4 linked regions of the Drosophila melanogaster genome follow. Changing the gene in region 3 together with the main gene of any one other region gives a genetic interaction. Each region holds a gene or a part of one and is shown on either strand. Other genes may lie near its edges. The genes, in order: Pc, bchs, eff and ph-p.

What was found.
Region 1: of eff (region 3) and Pc, changing one enhances a phenotype caused by changing the other (phenotypic enhancement), as found in Drosophila melanogaster (2 studies listed by BioGRID).
Region 2: of eff (region 3) and bchs, changing one enhances a phenotype caused by changing the other (phenotypic enhancement), as found in Drosophila melanogaster (one study listed by BioGRID).
Region 4: of eff (region 3) and ph-p, changing one enhances a phenotype caused by changing the other (phenotypic enhancement), as found in Drosophila melanogaster (2 studies listed by BioGRID).

The regions. Positions count from the first base shown.
Region 1 is NT_037436.4:21,314,408-21,319,758, forward strand, and holds the start of Pc (polycomb), read right to left. Parts: upstream 3,614-5,351; 5' UTR 3,504-3,613; coding exon 3,390-3,503; intron 3,076-3,389; coding exon 2,017-3,075; 3' UTR 899-2,016; intron 1-898.
Region 2 is NT_033779.5:5,905,409-5,910,223, reverse strand, and holds the start of bchs (blue cheese), read right to left. Parts: upstream 3,056-4,815; 5' UTR 2,937-3,055; intron 1,912-2,936; 5' UTR 1,880-1,911; coding exon 1,589-1,879; intron 1,535-1,588; coding exon 1,289-1,534; exon of another isoform or gene 1,177-1,288; coding exon of another isoform or gene 1-1,176. Other genes in the region: CG14000 (uncharacterized protein), read left to right, coding at 1-1,176.
Region 3 is NT_033777.3:14,738,296-14,743,024, forward strand, and holds the start of eff (effete), read right to left. Parts: upstream 3,025-4,729; 5' UTR 2,712-3,024; intron 2,646-2,711; 5' UTR 2,109-2,645; coding exon 2,085-2,108; intron 1-2,084. Other genes in the region: jvl (javelin-like), read left to right, coding at 3,883-4,296. UniProt on the Drosophila melanogaster protein: Catalyzes the covalent attachment of ubiquitin to other proteins. Mediates the selective degradation of short-lived and abnormal proteins.
Region 4 is NC_004354.4:2,133,568-2,138,185, forward strand, and holds the start of ph-p (polyhomeotic proximal), read right to left. Parts: upstream 3,056-4,618; 5' UTR 2,485-3,055; coding exon 2,450-2,484; intron 1-2,449. UniProt on the Drosophila melanogaster protein: Polycomb group (PcG) protein. PcG proteins act by forming multiprotein complexes, which are required to maintain the transcriptionally repressive state of homeotic genes throughout development.

The sequences.
Region 1 (5,351 bases), on a different chromosome or scaffold from region 3:
CAAAAATTGAAAGATTTACATTTCCATCATATTTCCGGACATGCTGGATTAATTATTGCTTTAATACTAATGATAGTATTAATAATATATTTCATACGGAAATGTGCTGTGCAACAAAGAATGCAAGCAATAACCTTTGCAGGTCCGTTGCCAGTACTATAAATATCAATAGTAAATAAACAATAAAATAATATAACAAATAAAAATATACAGTCCACTAATAGAAAATGTACTTCTACATAGAAAAAGCAAAATGTTTAAAATAAGTTAATTGAGTACAAATTGTTGAATTAAAAATAATATAAACCATAATTGTAATCCAATAAAATTAAAAGCCAGAAAAACTAGGCCCATTGAAATCTTAGTTGCAAAATAAATGAACATATATCAAATAAATACAGTCCACTACTGTTATAAATGCAACTAATATACTAATGTACATCTCAGCTTGCTGGCCCTTTGGCAGAATGTTCACACATGAACACGAATATATTTAAAGACTTACAATTTTGGGCTCCGTTCATATCTTATGTAAATGAATCGAGAGCGATAAATTATATTTAGGATTTTGTTATCTAAGGCGACATGGGTGCATTGCTCAAAAACATGTAATTTAAGTGCACACTACATGAGTCAGTCACTTGAGATCGTTCCCCGCCTCCTAAAATAGTCCCTTAGTGGGAGACCACAGATAAGGTCCTCGCCGCTCAAGATAGGCAGATGTGCCCGAGCGTGGGACCTCGATAAGGCGGGGACTATTTACTTAGGCCTCTGCGTAGGCCATTTACTTTAAGATGCGATTCTCATGTCACCTATTTAAACCGAAGATAATTCCAAATAAAATCAGTTTCTTACAAAAACTCAACGAGTAAAGTCTTCTCATTTGGGACTTTACAACTATATTAAAAAGCTTAAAATATACGCTTTGAATTGCTGTTTTGTGTGGAATTTACGCCGTAACTAAAACTAGCCAATAAAGAGCTAAGACAAATAGAAACATACGCACAGGACCCATGGGAAATAAGCAGGAGTTTGTAAATTCCCCGCAGCTCCCACGTAGTTTTCTGTTTCATAGCGTGAAAAAAAATTGTGAAATAGACATAGGATTTAAGTAATGAGTCTATGGGCTCGATTTGGAATTATCTGTGCACTGCACCGCTCTGAACCCATAAAGGCAGCACTTGAGTCTTGAATGACTGCTAAGAGAACATGTTAAAATAAATATTACGTAGAGATTTTGGTTAGCTAAAGTCTAAAAATATTTGTAAATCTACAATTGTATATATGTTTTTGGGGTTTTCTTTTGTAAAATCAGTCGGCGCGAGGAAATATAATATTAAACAATTACAACATTGGGATAGCCAACTCGGCAAACGTGGTGGTGACTACTCGAATATATGCATCTTCTATTGTATATATTTGTAAGCGTAATCAACAATTGCTTCGGTTTCGCATGGAGTTTTCTTAGCATTTGAGTGTCTTGTGTTGTTTTCAATCAGATTCAAAGTGTTATAAAAAATATACAATATGTGGTAAATATATGTAACATGTACATACATATTTATCTACGCTGCAAGTTTTACAATCTATTGCATTGGCAAGTTAAGCAGCCGCAGCATTTCGCCTATTCACTAAATGACAACCAGATTAATCTTAAAAAGTGATATTGCAGAAAAATAAATTTTTAATTTAAATAGGAAAATATTCAATCATTGCAATGCTGATAAAAAAAATGAGCGAAAATTTATGTATATATAAAGTCATTTAGTAAATACCCGACTTGCGCTTGCTTAAACTACTCTTGCACATTAAACATTGTAATAAAACAACAAACTAAAACCTACGCTAAAAATAAATACAATAAATTAGTTAAGTCCTAAAGAGAAAATGCTTAGCAACATTTAGTGTGGATTTCTCTGCATAATTCTTCTCTCAACTTTCTCGCATTTTGGTTTGTCTATTTACAATTGTATCAGTTTTCCGGTTTGTTTTCCCGACATTTGTTTGGGTCGAAGCTCAAGCTACTGGCGACGAATCGCCTTTCATGTCGCGCTCACGAAAAAACCCGCGCTCCGTCTTGCACTCGCGTATGGTAACGGTCTCCAGGTTTACGGTGACGTCTGTGATCACCACCCGGTTGGATATGTTGCATTTGGCCGGCAGCCAGAAGCGCGGCGGAAGGGCACGCGGCGAAAGAGGAGTAAGCGGCTGTTTCTGGTTGATAGCCAGGTTGTTGCACGGTTTTGGTATGTTATTGTTCTCGGAAGGAACCTGTGGCGCCTGTTGGTTGCCTTCCTCGTTGGCTACTTCTTCTTCCTCAGCTCCGGACTCTGCGGGCGTTGTGTTTATGGCTTCTGTGGCCAGTGGGGTGGCCTGCTGCTCAGATTTCAGCTGCGTTGCAGCCTCGCTGGCAATCTTTTCCGCTTGCTGCTGATCCTGGAAGGGCTGCTGCTGGCTGGGAGTTACCTGCTGGGTCGGCTGAGGCTTAATAGTGGGGCCATCTGGGGAGGTCTTAATCGTAACTCCAATCTTGCCCGATTCCTTGAGCACCTCGGCTTTGCGTTTGGTGCCGATCAGCGGCTGATCCTCGGAGCTGGAGGAGTTGCTGTCCGGCTCGGGGACAAATGAGTTGTGCGTGAAGCTGCTGTTCGAGGAGGAGCTGTGATCAATGCGCTGACGCTTGGACTCGTGGTGGTGGTGATGATGATGGTGGGTCAGCGGAGATTCCGAGCGCCGTCCACTGTTGCGTTCGGACTTGATGTGGTGATGATGGTGGTGGTGGTGATGGTGCTTCTTCTCCTTCTTCGACTCCTTATCGTGGGTAGCCGATGAGGTGGTGGCTTGATGCGTGTCCACATCGTTTTCGGTGAAGGTGTACTCATCCTCCTCGGATTCCGGCTCCGGATCGGGTTCTTTCTCCTTCTTCTTAATGCCTCGCTTGGAGGGAGTTCCGGAGGATTTGTTCGTTTGTTCGTAGATGTCGATGAGGCGGCGATCCAGGATGTTTACCTCCGGTTCCCAGGTGTTGTAGCGCTGGTTCCAGCCCTTCCACTTGACACGGTACTCCACGACGCCCTGGAAAATCGAGTAAGTGAAGGAGTGGGGGTGGATTGCATTTTCTTAGACAACTAATTGATTTTCCATTCAGCGAAACAAAAACACGCCTCACATACACACACACACACATACGAACGCACTACGCACACACACATGCATCGTGCAAATGGTGGTTGCAGCAGCAGATGTCCTCTGGCCAAAAAATGTCGAAGGACATGTGACCTTGTGGACTATACATATATCCTGCGTGTGCTGCGCATATTGCATTTGCCATTTTTAGCGGAGCATCCCGTTTTGGTCGCCTTTTTCGAATTTGTTTACGCTCATCTCACCTTCTTAACGCGCTTTTGGATGATTTTCTCAGCCGCGTACACTAGATCGACTGGATCGTCGGTCGCATTGTCGCGCCCCAACTTCCCCTTACTCCCCTTGCCTCGACCAGTCATTTTTAATTAATAATCTTCTCGGAACGTTTTATTATTCGTTTTATTTGCAATTAACTTCTGGTTTACAATTCTGCGTACGTCGATAGTCGTCCGACTCGATTATTTTCATGTAAACAATCGATAGTGCTGCGAGGTGCAGAGTTACCGTGCTACAAAGAACTGGGATCATATCTTAGCAAGTAGCCGTGTCGCACACCCTTTCCTGGCAAAATTAGCAAAGACTCAAAACTTTGATGACTAGACACACCTAATTGTGCGTTTTTAAAATGTAAATGTTTTGTTAAAATATTTTCAGAATTTCTTGACATTTTTCTATTATTTATAAATGGGGTATATAAATGTTTTAGAAAACATTTTTTTGGCGCTGTTGCCTTATACACTATTTTCTTTTATCGTTTCTACAAATTACTAAACCGGCGAGAAGTTAAACCAATTAGCTTAAATATAAAATAGCTTTTAATCAAATTTTAATAAGCGCATTTTTAATGAATCCTTTGTACAGTATTCTTTTTAAACTGCATGTTGAATTGAATTCCAGGTAACGAAATATTATACTTTCGTTAACGTTTATCGTTGTGTTGCTTTCATCCCATATTGAGTTTTGATTTTCCTTTGTCCTGCTTCACTTATTGTATCACAAATTGCCACATATACTTCGCCCCATATTCCTATTCAATTAAGTTTGATAATTAACTTGATTACAACTGAACTAGTTACCCTCTTCGAACTCTTCAAATGCCACATCCTCAAGAGGGAGAGAAAGTGCGGGAGAGAGTGTGAGAAAGCACAAGAGCGCCGAAAGCTCAGGATGGATGTGAAAGGAAGTGGCCGACTGCAGATATTTTATGCCAGTTGTATGTTGGCCGAGGGTTCGCGTGGCGGGGGCGGCAACGACGATGACATTATTTTATTTATGCTGTGATAGTGAAATAACAACAACACCAAGACCAACAACTGAAATAACACCCATTCCCTTGAAATCAATCGCAATATTTTCGACGAGGGACGCGAAACGCATGGAGAATCTTCACACTTAACGACGAAAACGAGAAATTAACCAAAAGCTTTAACCAAAACATAAAGAAAAACACCAAGCAAATTGTTGCGAACCCTATAAATAGATTAATGTTTAATTCATAGTGAAAACAGCACCAATTAGCGCATAACCTATAAAATATTAGTCAATATGTTTAGCTAGTTACAATTTACATAGATGATATTTAATTAGTGGCTTCAAACAAAACACCAAGCAACCAAACAACCGAACAAAAAAGGGGAAAAACCAATACCTAGTTCAATTGTACGGAGCGAAAAACTAACGAATAGCGATTAGGAAAACTGGCCAACTGATAAGGCTGGCGAAAATATTAAGCTTATAGCATATAGGAAATAATAATAGCAACGGCAAACCACCCCATCTCCAGGCGAAAGCCCCGAATAGCGGATTCATTCAGAAAAACGTGCCACACAACCGGACGGGAGCGACGGACAACGGTAAATGTCAAAGTCATAAAGAGAAAACTCGGAAATGCCGATGAGAGAAAGCTCAGAGAAAACGTCAAAACTATGAGAGGCGATAAAAGCTAGCCAGTTACAGTTATATTGGGAGAAGCAATGCCAAGTGTCAAAATCGCAAAGAGAAAGTAACAAAAGAGAGACACAGCTTAACGAAAACTTCCGGTTATTTTTTAACCAGTAGATTGAGCATTACGGCCATATATTAACGCAAACAGGACAATGGAATAGCTTGTATTTATCAGTCGTTTTGCCTAAAAAAAGAGTTTATAAAAAGAAAAGAGAAAGGAACGCCGCAATAGGAGGTCATACAAATCCTCAGAAGAGGGGTCG
Region 2 (4,815 bases), on a different chromosome or scaffold from region 3:
TTTAAACTCATCGAGGTGTTGCTGGGCAGTGTTTGTATGTTTTTCCACATACGCGGCTCATCCTACTGGCCAGAGCGTACTCCTCATGTGATCCTATATTGTGCCACATTTTCGTCCTTTACGGCGCTCGCCGCTCTAGGCGCGTTCCGACTGCTATTGGCTAGGAGTACGGTGCTCTCCTCCCAGCTCCTGCTCACACTGAGTGCCGTGCTGTCGCACTATTTCTGCGGCGTGCTGATAATGCGCACCGCCATGCTGGACCCTCACCTGGCCTTCATCAATTCTACCATCGAGTATCTGGAACATCCGCACTTTGCGCACTGCAAGCAGCAGAGCATCGCTGCGCTGGTTACTGGCACCATGTACCTGATGCACATGTTCCACGTGTTCGACCTGCTGATGCGCATGGAACCCGGCGACTGGAAACGTCAGGCGACTGGCCGTAAGTACTTTGAGGGAACAGAGTCTGGTTCAACCGGGCTATTTGTGCTTTCCAAGCCAGTGGACGACTTTCTATGCAAATGCTGCAGGTGCTACTATAAGTTGGCCAATTCTCAGATCCTGTACTTCCGGCCGAACGCGGAGGTGGAGCAGCCGCACTTTATAGTCCGCATGTGGCAGTTCATTGGGGATGCGCGTAAAAAGTTCTTTTCGCTGCATCAGATCGAGAGTGACGAGAGTTTTCTATCAACGCCAACAATAACCACCAGTGAATCGGATATCACACCGGTGGACACGGAGTACAGTGTGTACATGGAAGAGCAGGCCAATAAGATGCGCAGGTCTGCTTCAGCCTGGCGCGGCTCCAGCGATTCCTCGAGCTTGTGGGCCAAAATCGAGGACAGGAGCACTGTTAGCCTTGTTTCAACTCGGTCAAGTGAGAACAGCGAGGCCACAATGAAACCCATTCAAATGGATCGGAAGCTAGCCCGGCGATCTTCCATGTGGGCGGACACTGAGAAAAGGGAGAAATCGGAGATTTTGCTGGTAGAACAGGGCTCTAGCTATTCTCGGCTCAGAACTTTAAGCAATGCTGAATTGGTCCATAAGCCAAGCGATGCGGGAGAAAAGGAACAACAAGTTCCAGATGCAGCCAACCCAAATATTACAAATGAAGAAGCTACGAACTCACACATCGAATTCTCTTTGAAGCCTGGAACTGAGAAAACTTCGTGAATTTGATGACGACTTTCCCTAACGAAAATTGTAGCTATTGAAATTTTTTGTTTTGATTACGTCGATGTATTTTTACCATAAGATACTATAGCAGTTTATAAATGAAACATACCTGTATGAGAGATACGTCTCCATTGGCCAACAAATTGAGGGTAGCCAAAAGCATCCATCCGCTGCTGGTTTCCTCGGTGGTTTCCACCTCGAGAAACTTGACTATGGCAATGGATGCCGCCTCTGTGCTCTGGTTGGAGGCGCGCTTGCGGATTTCGCTGACCATGAGACGGGACACTTGCTGGCAGAAGGCGACCACGTCCCAGAACTTTTCGCTCATGTCGTTTGACGGACAGCTGCTGAAGACCTGTAAGAATGGGGAGTTAGTGGCCTATTCCTCCATACCGACTGATTCACTCACTTTGCAGAAGAGGGGCAGCATCTCGTAGAGCTTGTCATCGCGCTCCTGTTCGCTCAGCGGCTCCCGCGGATGAGTGTATTCGTTGAATAGCTTCTTTAGCGTGGTGAGGCTCACTTGGACGCGGGCGTCCATCAGCGCCTCCTCCGCATTCCGTCCATTTGCAGCGGTCGGTGCACCAGCATCCGTTCTGCTGCTCCCTGGTGAACTGTTGTTCGCCGTCGAGGTTCCGCTACTGCTGCCGCTGACGCTGCCTGCGCTGGCCGCTCCGCGCAGCTTACGCATTACATTCATCTTTGTGTTTGTTGATTTGCGGTAAGATTAATCTAAAAGAGAGAAAATTAAGTTGACTTAATACAAAATATAAGACTAATCTAATGGCTGTACTATGAGGAATGTCATTGATTTTTTTGCAAGGGGGTGGCACTTTCTACATGTGTTTTAATAATGGTGATTCACTTGTTTACAATGTTATGCCGTTTAAAAAGATTATATATTATTCGATAAAGGTGTAAAAAGATATTTCATAGTATTTTGAAACTTTTTACTGCTGTAGTTTAATGAACTTTCCCACTTTCATGCAGGTTTCAGTTCAAAACGTGTCGCTTCGCATTTAAACATATGTTTCCATAGAACCTGTGCTTATTGTAGATATTGTATCTTTTGAACATTGGAGGTGAGATATTTTGGCGATTTATTTGCACAGCACTGACACTTTCAATTGAGTGGCTTCCAAATCACAACCGCGCACAGTGCAGTTGGCGTTATGGCTTGTTTTCGCAGCTATTCTATTTCTGCTGCCGCCGCCTTAATTAGCGGCCGCTGGAGGTGAATCACACGAAAAGTGCGATCATTGTATTCGGTGCGAGTATTAACTTTTCGCGAGTGAATGAACGTTGCCTCTGTCGCCGACTCGATTCGATTCGTACGCCTACATAGCGAGCAAGCGATTAACCGATAGTGGTTATTATTCCATATATTCGGGAAATATTTACATTTTGTGCGAGACAGCTGTTCTTGGTTTACTTATTGCGCACTTGTTTGTTTACTCCAACTCCCTTTGAAACTACCGACTATCTGACCTCTCTTTTCTGCCAACGCATTTGGTTCAGCTAACGGCCGCTCTGTTGTTGCTTTTTCGTAGTCCGCTTAGCGCTCTCTTTCGTGTCGCACTTTGTTTTGCTCCAGTCAATCGCGCCTCACGACAATTTTATTGATTTTTCTTCCTCTCTCGCGTACTCTCACTCGGCCTCTCTGCCCGCCACCCACCCTTGAACAAACCAGCAGATAGGTCGAATTTGAAAATTTTCACATGCACTTTTCCGGCTTATTTCGTGCAGCCGTCACTTACTTTTGCTATCCGTCGCTAGCATTGTGTTTCCCGTGTGAGTTTTCACTATTTTGGGCCCTAAATGCACTCGTTTTACATCTTGTTTCACGTATGAAAATATGAACCAAATTTTCTCCAGCTTTTCGTCTGTACTCTCTTTTCGTTATTCTGTCGAGTGTTGCGTAGCGCTGCCAGTGGTATCAGCTGTTCACATTTTCCACCACCGCAGCCAGTGCTCATTAAGACCAAACGCCAGTGCTGCATTTTGAATTATGATCGGCGGTCTAGCTTTGGCATTTCAAATTCAACTGTACTGATAAGCAAATAAACAAGACCGATTTGTATTAATCTACTTCATTTTATTATTTTTATTTAATACAAAATCTTTTGTATGTCGCCAACGATGTGCTTATCTTCAGATTGTATATATTAGATCGCTTACTAAACTAATGGCAACAGTTTAATAGAACTAAACTGATTTATCTCATAAACTTAGCATCTAAATTGATACTTAATTAGCACTTACTTAATGTTCATGTGTGCTCATAATTAAGTTCATTATTGTTAATAATATTATATGAGTGCTTTCGCATCTCGGCTAACAATTGGTATTCTTAGGCCATTGGCCATTAATTTCCAAATTTCTCTCTCGCCCAATATTCGCATGAGTGTGAGATTCTTTATTGATTCTGGCTAGGGGTTATTAATATTTGTGTTTGTACTTACAGTTGTTATAATTGTCAGCATCAACAGATAGCTGTCGGATATGACAACAAATTTATTTGCATATTGATTGAACGAACACCCGATGGCGAACTTCATGCGTTGATAATGATGCTATTTGCTGACTCATTTGTGGCAGAGAATGCTGTAAGTTTATTGGGATTGATTGATTGGTAAGGCCATTAAATGCCACGCACGTCCTTCTGATCTAATTTCCCTGTACCCGAAACCAATTCGCTGTGTCTCCCCATTTTAATGCGGATAAAATTTCGTTTTTGAATCAATTAGGGGTGCAAAAGAATAAAGGCGTGTCGTGCTAAATATTTAGTTAGTAGTTATCCCCATGACCAACTGCCTCGCTCCCCAAAAATAGTTTACCTTTGGGCGTTGGCCCCGCCACGCCCACTGACCCCTTGCGTGACTGCCCGTATCCACCCGCTCCCACAGTCCTCTTCAGTTTTCCAGCTAGCCAGCCAGCCACATAAGCTAAGCTCGGAGTTCCCTAATGCTTGTTTATGTGGGAAAGCGTTTGGGATTGGCACTTCTCCAGGTATTATATCTTCCCACCCAGACAGGTACTTTGCGCACTTTCCCGCCCGACAAACCCCCCACCGCGATTTGTGGGGCAGGGTTGTGGGGAAAGTCCTTTGTCTGCGGCAATATTCTAATGGATTTTTCCGTTTCAGTTATAAATAGAGGCCCCCTACAACTGACAAAAACGGGAACAATATCTCAGGTGCCAAGAAGGGGTAGACCAGTAAAATGATATTCGGTAGATTGATAGCGCACTAAAAAAAAAAACTCGTGAAGTTGGCGCGAACATTCTATTTACATACAAACTCTTATGAGTAAAGTGACATCAGCCTATTTCATCCGCTTAATCTTCCTTTAAAGGTGAAGTGCAATACCCAGCAAAATTTTAAGTGGATTTTTAAGTGAATTTTCCGAGGACCGCATATGCTGCTCGAGGCGTTTCCGGAAAATTTAAAAGTGTAACCCCAAAAATCATTTGCACAGCATTCATGGGGGACTCATTAGGCGGGGCTTCCCCCTTTCTGTCGGAACGAATAACTTTTATTTTTCGCCCCAGAGTCCTCCACTTCATCACGACGCTGTTGTTGACAATGAGCGAAACATTTGCGTATCGAAATTGGCAAGACCCCGGGCGGCGGCCAAG
Region 3 (4,729 bases):
GCAGGAGGAGGAAGAATGAAGGAGAGTGAGAAGACTGAGCTTCAGTGTATGCGTGTGTTTGTAACGGCACCACAAAATCAGAGTGGAGCACAACAAAAATAGCCGTCGCGAAAAACACCGTGTTTCTTTGCCCCATCTCACTTACTCATTTTGGGAATTGTACCTGTTGAGCAAAAATAAATTACAAGAAATTGTTACATTTCTTTTTTCGTTGGGAGTCGGAGCGGTTATGACTCATATCAGACGAACAAATGAAGTAAAAACAAACACGCACACTTGTGCACAGCAAGAAAATTCGATAATATTATCAATATTAGACCAGGTGCACTACCAATACAAACTTCTATTTAATTCTTATTCGAATAATTAATATTGTGAACTTTAAGAATTGGTTCAGTAAGACTAAATGCCATATGCATTGGTTCTAAAGCCCATTTCGTTCAGTGTACGGTTCAAGTGAGCTCCGATCGGCGTTTAAGCCGTTCTCTCTCGCTCTTTAACTCTCTTTTTTGGCAAATGAGGCCATCTAGAGAAAAAAGGCTTTTGAAGAATTGACCACAAAAAGGGGGCGTGAGTGATTTTAAGAGTTTACTACAATGTATACTTTTATTTCCGGTTTGCCGCTTGCCATTTCGTTTTCATTTAGGCAGGCATTAAAATGTTATAATGGATAGAAAACTACGAAAAACGAGGAAAACTCAATGGCCATGACGCCGACGCAGGCAGCGCTGCTTTTGTCGAGACAGTCAGCAGACCCCCGCCCCACACATTCAAACACAAATACACACCACGCTCACACATACGCATAGATATGAACAAATTCCGCATTCGCTGCTCATTTTGTATGTAAATTATGCTTAATTATAATTTATAACTAATTATTTGGGGGCCCCCTTTTGGCTGACGGTGTTTTGCAACACTAAGCCCCGCTAGCACTCACACACTTGCGCTCTCTTTGGCTCTGCCCCATTGCGCGAGCGGGACCGAATGAGGCCTCAGCTGTCGCGGGCAAAGGGAATGCGCCAGGGCCAGAGCGAGATGGCATGCAATGGCCATAGCCAAGTGATGGCGAGACTTTGTATTTGCGAGCGTTTTAATGTGTGTGTGTGTGGGGTATGACTATGATAACCGGCTTCAAACGTAAAAAAAGATCCCAATTTGCCAAGTAACATTTCCACAACTTCGAGATATTACTAATGCTTTTGAGGAAGGCTGGGATGACTTTGAAAAAATATCGGGTTGTCAGGGCCTTGAACATTGGGGTGTAAAAAAGCATTTACTGGACAAGGACAAACGACGCGCAGGCACTTTAAAAATAATTATCGAAGCACGCACGCTAGAACCACTCTACCTAAATACATATATAAATATATATGCTTGGGGGCAGCACTATTTCTGAATTATCAGCGCAAAAAGTAGGGTTAGGTTAATTTTATACGCTTCTTGCTTTTGCTCTGTTTTATTTTTTGCTGGATCTTTCTGCGGCGCTGGCAGTGTGTGCGTTTATGTGTGACTGTTGCGAGGCTGAGAGTGTGTGCGAGTGCCGTGTACAGCGTGTATTGGGTAACAGCGCCCGTAGAGCTGCGAAAACTCCGCCGTATAGTTGCATTAATGTAAATGCATCCAGGTGCCCGGCACACACGCACACAAACAATGCACATTTGCATTGCACTTTCACGCACACGCATCGCACACACACTTATCCCACACTCTCGCAAAAGTAACGGAAGCGATGACTGCACTACACGTTGCCTTGCCCACCACACACACACATCCTTATACCTTTTTCACCACCCTCAAAATTTCTAATCTGCTCCTAATTACTAACTTATTAATTAAATGGTAACTCCACAGCTCATTTTCTCCCTTCCCTCTTGCACGCTTCTTTCCCCCCGCTTCTTCTTTCTTCTCCTCGGTTACTACCTACGTTTCACATTTCTTGCATAAAATTTTTCTCCCGTTGAAAACTGATGTCTGTTCGCTTTTTTTTTAGACTATCATTTTGGTGTATCGCAAAGGGTTCTGTTCTTTCTTTTTTTAGTCCGTTTCGCAAAGTTTTTTGAGATATTCCTTTTTTCACATACCTTATTGATTCTTTTTAACGCCATTTTCTGATTGAAATTTGATTTTCTGGGTTGTGTGTGTGTTTGGTTGGTTGTGTGTGTGTTTGGTTGGTTGTGTGCTGGTGTTGGTGTCTCGCGTATTTCTTTTGTTCTTCGCACAGAATTGGGTTTTATTCAATATATAATCCTCCTGCTTAGAATTGAACGAAAAACGAAACACAAAGCTGCGTTGCGCCTCTAGAACTTTGATGCTTAAATATGGCTCTTTCGGTTGAGTGTCCCTTGTCACGAAATAAAGCAGCACCAGCGCACTGCAAGTAAAAACGGCGACCCGACGAAGACTACGGCGACGATTATTTTTTCACAATCAATGCGGGGCCTTTCGACCGTTTGTGCGATAGAGACGACCGTTAGTGAGCTGAGAACGCAACGAAGCACAATCGTTACACCGAAGTGTAAGCCCGAGCGAGAGGAATGGTGTGTCTGTGTCGTGTGGTAGTGTTGTGAAGCGGAAGTCCAGCAGAGCAGTCCAGCTATATGACCTTTTCGCTAGGGGTGGCCAGATCGATTGGGTGGCAACGCCTTTTAGGTGAGGGATGAATCAGTTAATTACAATTTGATTGCCAATGCAAGACTCTTCATACTCACTTTAGTTCGGGAACAGCCAGAAGAAATAGTTTTACCGGCAGCGAGGAGGTGTTATATTTTATTCGAACTACCTTCTTATCGATGGTGCGTGCGCCCAAAAGCTTGCAACTTGTATGTAAATTTGTTAACACCCAACGTGTTGCAGGCTGCCGGAATGTTTTTACTGAGCAATTTTGAGATGTTGGTAATCCGAGTTCTTGAAAACTTTCCGACTAGCTACTGAGTTCTACAACTGAATTGACAGGGCGTTATTTTAAAATTTAAATTCACTCCAGAGCGCTGGTCTGGCAAGGCCGACGTGCCAATTCAGGATACTTGTCGATATTTTCCGTTGTGCTATCGATAGTTTTTGGGAATAACAGGCGTTAGTAGATTTTTAGTATTTAGATTTTATTATCATAAGGATGAAAATATTTTTAACAAAATAAACTGGTTCATTTAATTTAACTTTTTATTTTCTCACTACTCCAAATGGCGCTTCCGCTGTCTGAAACTGCCGTTATAATAGTATGAACAGTTAAAACAATCGACGGTAGCTGAATTTAATCAATGCAGCCCTCTTACCCTATACATCGATAGTATCGCATAAACATCGATTTTGGTTCCAGCTCTAACTTTAACTGTCTGCAAAATATTTCAAACAAAAGTGTTTGTTAATTAAGTAATATACTTAATATTAGTGGCTGTTTTGCTTCGACATTGATCGAATTGCGGTTGTGCAAGTGTTTTGTTTGATTTGTTGGCGTGTTTTTCCTAGTTTGGCGGCCCTTTGAACTCGTTCGTGTATCGCCATCTCTCTCCCACCCCCGCAATCGGCTTCGTGCGTATTTTTTTGTGAATTTTTACACAGAACTCACACTTTTGTATGGCCCAAGAATTTGTACAATATTTTTGCACTTGAAAAACAAGAAATAATGAAGAAAGCCAAGATAAACGCGACGATGTGCAAGTGCTAATCATTCAGTTTTGGCAAGCGCTGAACTTCGCTGACTTCTTGAACAGCAAAAAAGATGGAGGAGGATAATGCCAAGGTCCTAAGTAATAACAACAAGAACAACAGAAACAACAATAAGGGACGCCAGCAGCTGCAGGGACACGCCCACAGCTCCGCCACCGCCCACGCCTCCGTCGATATATTTATATTCGATTTATAGTAGCTGTAGTTGTAGTCATGCCAACAACAAAAACGCAAACACAGACAACAACAACTTGCAGCGAAGAGGAAGAAGCGGCGATAATACGAGAAAATTGCGATACGCCAATGGCGACCCCAGCAAATGCAACAACAGCAAACACAACAACTGCAGCACCCATAACAACAACAACAACAACAGTAAATACGCGCAGACAAGAAGAAGCAGCAGCAGTAGCTTCCACACCTAGTGTTACGAAAACGGCAACAACAACAAACATACTAGCCGCTGCAGCGGGATGCCACAAGCCGTTATTCTTCAGCCGCCGCTTTCAGGACAAACGGAACTTTAGCTCGCTACCGCTCTTCGTCTACGCGACCTCGCCATCAACGCACGCCCACTCAGCGGACGGAGTAGGCGTGGCCAAGGAGGCAGCCGCGTTTTGCCACAAGGTGAGTTTGTTGCACAAAGAACCAGATAAACTTGTAATATTAGGAGAACAAGGAACTTCTATAATTGCCAATCAAATATAATATATCCCCTTTAAGTTATGTATTATAAAATGTAGTATTTTATTTAAACTTTGATAATGCCATTTGTATGTATTTAGATTTAACCCCAAAACAGGAAAAGAAAACCAAAAATAAAGAATTCTGGTTGGAACAGAGAGTTTCCAGTTCGAGGGATTCGTTTGGCATGTCACAGAATTGTAATTGTAATAAAACCCCCATGGGTTTTAATACTCATTTTCTACCTTCCACTCTGCCATCTCTTTTTTTCGAGCAATCGCACCGCTCTTTCCGCTCTAAACTTGCGTAATGGATCACTTCCGCTGCACTTGCAACTTGGGTCGTGTCATATCTGAATATATAATTCCCGCCCAAT
Region 4 (4,618 bases), on a different chromosome or scaffold from region 3:
GTTTTTTTTTTTTTTTTTTTTGTTTAAGCAAATATGGCTACTTGGTAAATACAAAAATCTGGTTTTAGTCATTCAAAAAAGTGTGAGACAAATGCGGGAACTAGCAAACAAAAACGCTCTTATTAAATAATCATATTTACAATGTAAACATAAAAGATGACTTTCGAGAGTGGCAGAAACAAACGCGGGAAAAGTAAATATGACTCTGAGGTAACGATCACCTTTAACTCGGGATAATATCAAAACTATAGTTCCGACTTAATCACAAGGTCAAGCCTGAAGATATGTACCATGTCATTTCAATTTCTAATTAAGAATTGTGTACCCTGGTTAACTTTTAGGTAGAGATCCCGAGCCCGATCCCGATCCCAATCCCTATCCCGAAAATATTCGTTCTTTTTGTGGACCTTTTTCCGAACCCGCCCTTTTTCAGCGACAATGAACATTTGGCCAACTACTTAACGGACTTTCGCATTCAACGAATGAAGAGAAAGGAGCTGCCTGACAGCCTTCGCATTTCACATCGATCTTTATCTATGGGTTTTCGAATTTCCATGAGCAGCATGGTAGTCGCACTCGTTTTCCACGTTCAACGTTCGACAACAACAGCCCGGAAAACTAATTTAGCCACGCAGCTGGCACCGTTCGATATTATTGTAAAAGGGCAATAAAGCCGATGCGAATTGCAGGCGAAGTTCAAGGACCTTTCCATCGAAATGCTAAAAATGCTGACAGTTGGGAGCAACACGAGATGGTTAGTGTTTTATACAGTAGTGCTCAAGCTAATAGGATTAGTGGACAAACGTAAATGGCTGAGTACTCCACATGGTAAGGATGTTTTTCTAGAAATAATTAACTAATATTACTTCCTGAATCAGTTCCCTGATATAGTTCAACTATGAATGATCTAACTGGAGAAGCGTGGTTTCAAGGTCCTATTGCATTGACCGCGACTGTGATGCCCGGCAGTCCAGAGAGCCTGATCCCCACCCCTTTCCATCGCCCAAAAAGCCCGCAAGGCCCATAAACAGCAAGAGCATAAAAAGCATGAGTGCAAAAAAGACAGAAAAAGGAGCGAAATGGGTTATAAAAGCCGGTAAAAGCATTTTGGCAACCCTCATGTCGCTGCTACCCCGTAAAAGAAAGGGAATATGGGGTGGGTGGTCCAGAGGGGTGGAATACTCGCCACAGGGTGGTGGGTGCGCGTGTGCAAGTGTGTGTAAGTTAAGCTCACGGCCGCACGCTGCGAAAAACCTCTTGAGAGAAAAAAAAAGACTGGTTTCCATGTCGCCATGGAGTAGGGTACATACATTCGAGCTCGAGTGTGTGAGAACCCCCGTAAAACAGCCTGCTTGCAATCGGGGGGAAAGCAGTAGCGGTGGGAAAGGAATGATCAAAATGCGGGGCAGCACACACACACACAGACACGCCGATAGGGGTGCGGGGGAAAGGTCGCGCTCAAATCAAACATCACCTCCAGTGGATTCGGGCGTGCAAAATGCGCGGGAGCGAGCGAGGAGGGGGGGGGCCTTGACAGCCTATTGATTGATACACAAACGAGTTCTGCAATCGAAGAAGATGAAACAAATGTGAGTGAACGAGATGAGGCTATGGCCAGGCCGTACACACAGTCACATAAACTCAGAGCGAGTGCGGTGTAGCGTAGGTGTAAACAGAGTTGTCAACTATTTATTTACAAAAACTGTTGTGCTTTAAACGAGTCTAAAATAATTTAATCATTCTGGTTTATTTTCTTGCCACGAACAATTTAAGTTTGTAGGTAAAAATTAGCATTCAGTGATAACGGACTGTAAGAAATATAAAAGTATTCAATAAAATTGAATCTTCGTTAAACCGGAACACAGATTTCTCAGATTCGTTACAGCTGACAACCCTAGACTGTTTATTTCGGCAGAGTAAAGCAAAATGTAAGCAGGGTTGCCGCAGCAACAACAAAAACTGATACCTTTCGATATAGAACTTTTGTTTTCTTTATGTTGCTTTGTTGCGCGAGTGAGAGAGGGTTGCACGGAGAGACGGAGAAATCAACCACCACCAGCCGACGCACACACACAAATGCAGACACGGGCATGCATTGCGAAATTCGTTGTTAAAAATGCAACAACACCGCACAGCGGGGGGCGTGTGTCGGTTGGATGATGAATGGCGGAGAGGGCGACGGAGGGGAAACTCGTTTTGGGTTTCATGAATTTATTTTCTTTTCTTGGCCCGCCAGTCGAGCGCATTTTATGATGACAGAGAGCACAGAATATCCACTCGCTGCATTTTTACGAGCATTATGATTAACGTGTCATTATTATCCGAATACGATATAGAATCAATATCCAATGCTCAAGAGCAGATTAAACCAAAAATTGTAAACAAAAAGCACAAGTGCAGGCAGTACAAAAGCAGTGATAAAAATAAAACCAAACTAAACAAAAAATACCTTTTTTGCATAAACTTCAATGCACGACGATCCATTATTCAAAATAAAAACAATATTTATAATAAATTATAGGTATGCATGCGTCGGCTTAGGCGTTTTGTTTTTGTTTTCGGCGGCGGCGGAGACACTCGTGGTTGTTTTTGTTATAGTCGGCATGGCGCTTTCTTTTTAGTCCTCAGTTTCTTCTCTTTTTGCTATTTGCCGTATTATATTGTACATTAACAAACACGCACATGTGTGAAGGCAATAAATATAAACATACAACAGGCAACACCAAACATATACATATGTATGTAACGTGGAACGCAAGACAACAAAAGTACACAAAACGAATACGAAAATCCGACAAAAGTCCCAGTGTCTCGTGTGTGTGTGTGTGTGTGTGTGTGCTTGCGTGTAAATGAGTGTTTCGTGCACGGGCAGTAGTAATTAGTACAACCTCCACTCACAGTCACTCCACTTCAACTTCTCCCCGCTGGCTGCAGGCACTTTTCTTTTTCTCAGTGTAACGACTAAGCACCTGTGCACGCGATCTTACATAAAATTAAGCCACAGTCACAGCACTAAGTACTTGTTTTAACTGCACTGCCTACGTCGCCAGCGACGATTCGCCAGCTAGGGGCTCCACTGTGGCGCGGCATCACTTTTTATGTCTGCACATCTGCACTAGCTAATCAACAGCACCGTTAGCTCTTTTTGAAAAAAATTTAACAAATTTGCAGGGTATCCAGTGAGTATGTCGCGTCGGCGGGTTTTTTCTTCGTTCAATACACATGCGATGCGGTATGCGACACATACGACACCACACCAACACGAACGCAGAGAGAGCAGAGCGCAAGAACCGTACACCGCCAAGTTAAGTTTCAAACTGAACCGCGCGCCACAGCGACAACTCTACTTTTCGTTCGGATCGGAAACAAAATGAGCGCATGTGCGCTGAATATGTGTGTGTGTTGGTGTGCAGCTGGATCCGCTTCTCTCTTCTCAGATGCCGTTGCGACTAATAACTTTTCTCTATACCGAAATGCACGGGTGCGAGTGCGACGCCACTAGGAGTGGCCCTGGCCAGTTAGCGCGTGCGAGAGGGATGCCGTGCGTTCGCTTGGGGTTGGAATGAAACGGCAGCAGTTCGTTTGACAAAGCAAAACCAAAACGAGTAAAAAAAACAGGAAGACTACAGCTGGCGGGCATGTGTATGCGTGCTCAACCACCCCGACTGAAAGCCCCCTTCCGTTGCTGAAAACATAACATGGTCTGGTGACTCGACTTTCAAATACCCCTTTTTCATATACCATTCCTCGCTAACTTCAGTCGTATCCTTAAAATGAAAACCCTTCTTAAATATTTATTTGTAAGTTATTGGTGCTGACTACTAACACAAATTCCAGTTAAAACCAAGTGCCCAGTATACCCTTTTACTTTGTGGGTACCGGGTATGTACATACATAAATACGCGCGAAGCCAGTTTTATGTGTGTACACTCGAATGTCTACCGCCCGGCCCGACTCGACAACGATTGTTGCTATACTTCATCTTCTTTTTTCGTGCCATCACAACCACCACCACTACGACTACCTTCCTACCTCTACCTCCTTTCTCATTCCTTCTTTTTCACATCAGATCGGGTCGGATCGGCTTTACCTTATTATTAGTTGTGCTTGTCAGTAACACACGGGTGTGTCGGTTGAGAAGGGGAGGATAGCGTATGCGCAGAGGCAGAGCGAAATCTTATTCTCTCCACCCCATTGAACAGTGGTAAGCGATCCATTATTATTGGATTGCTTTACAGTTGCAGTTTGAGAACCAAGAGTACAGTGGGTCAATTTTTTAGAACAGCAATTTTTCCAAACTTTTTATACATATAAACAATGTTACGATAAGTAAAATGAAAACGTTTAGTAAAATAGAATTATATAATAGACATACGTATTGAGTTGATTTATTAAGTTTTAAGTTTATTAATGTTTCAAATATCCACCACTCATGACCCACTGTGCCTGTCTTTGTCATTTCATTTTTCATTTTGTGCCAGCCCGTGCGTGTGTGCATGCACCATTTGTAGTATGTGTGCGTTGCTTTGGGCTCTTGTTGGTCTTCTTCTTACTCTTCCCACCTCATCCAACAACAACGTCGCTGAGCCCCACAAATGTTTTCATTCCGATTAGCTTT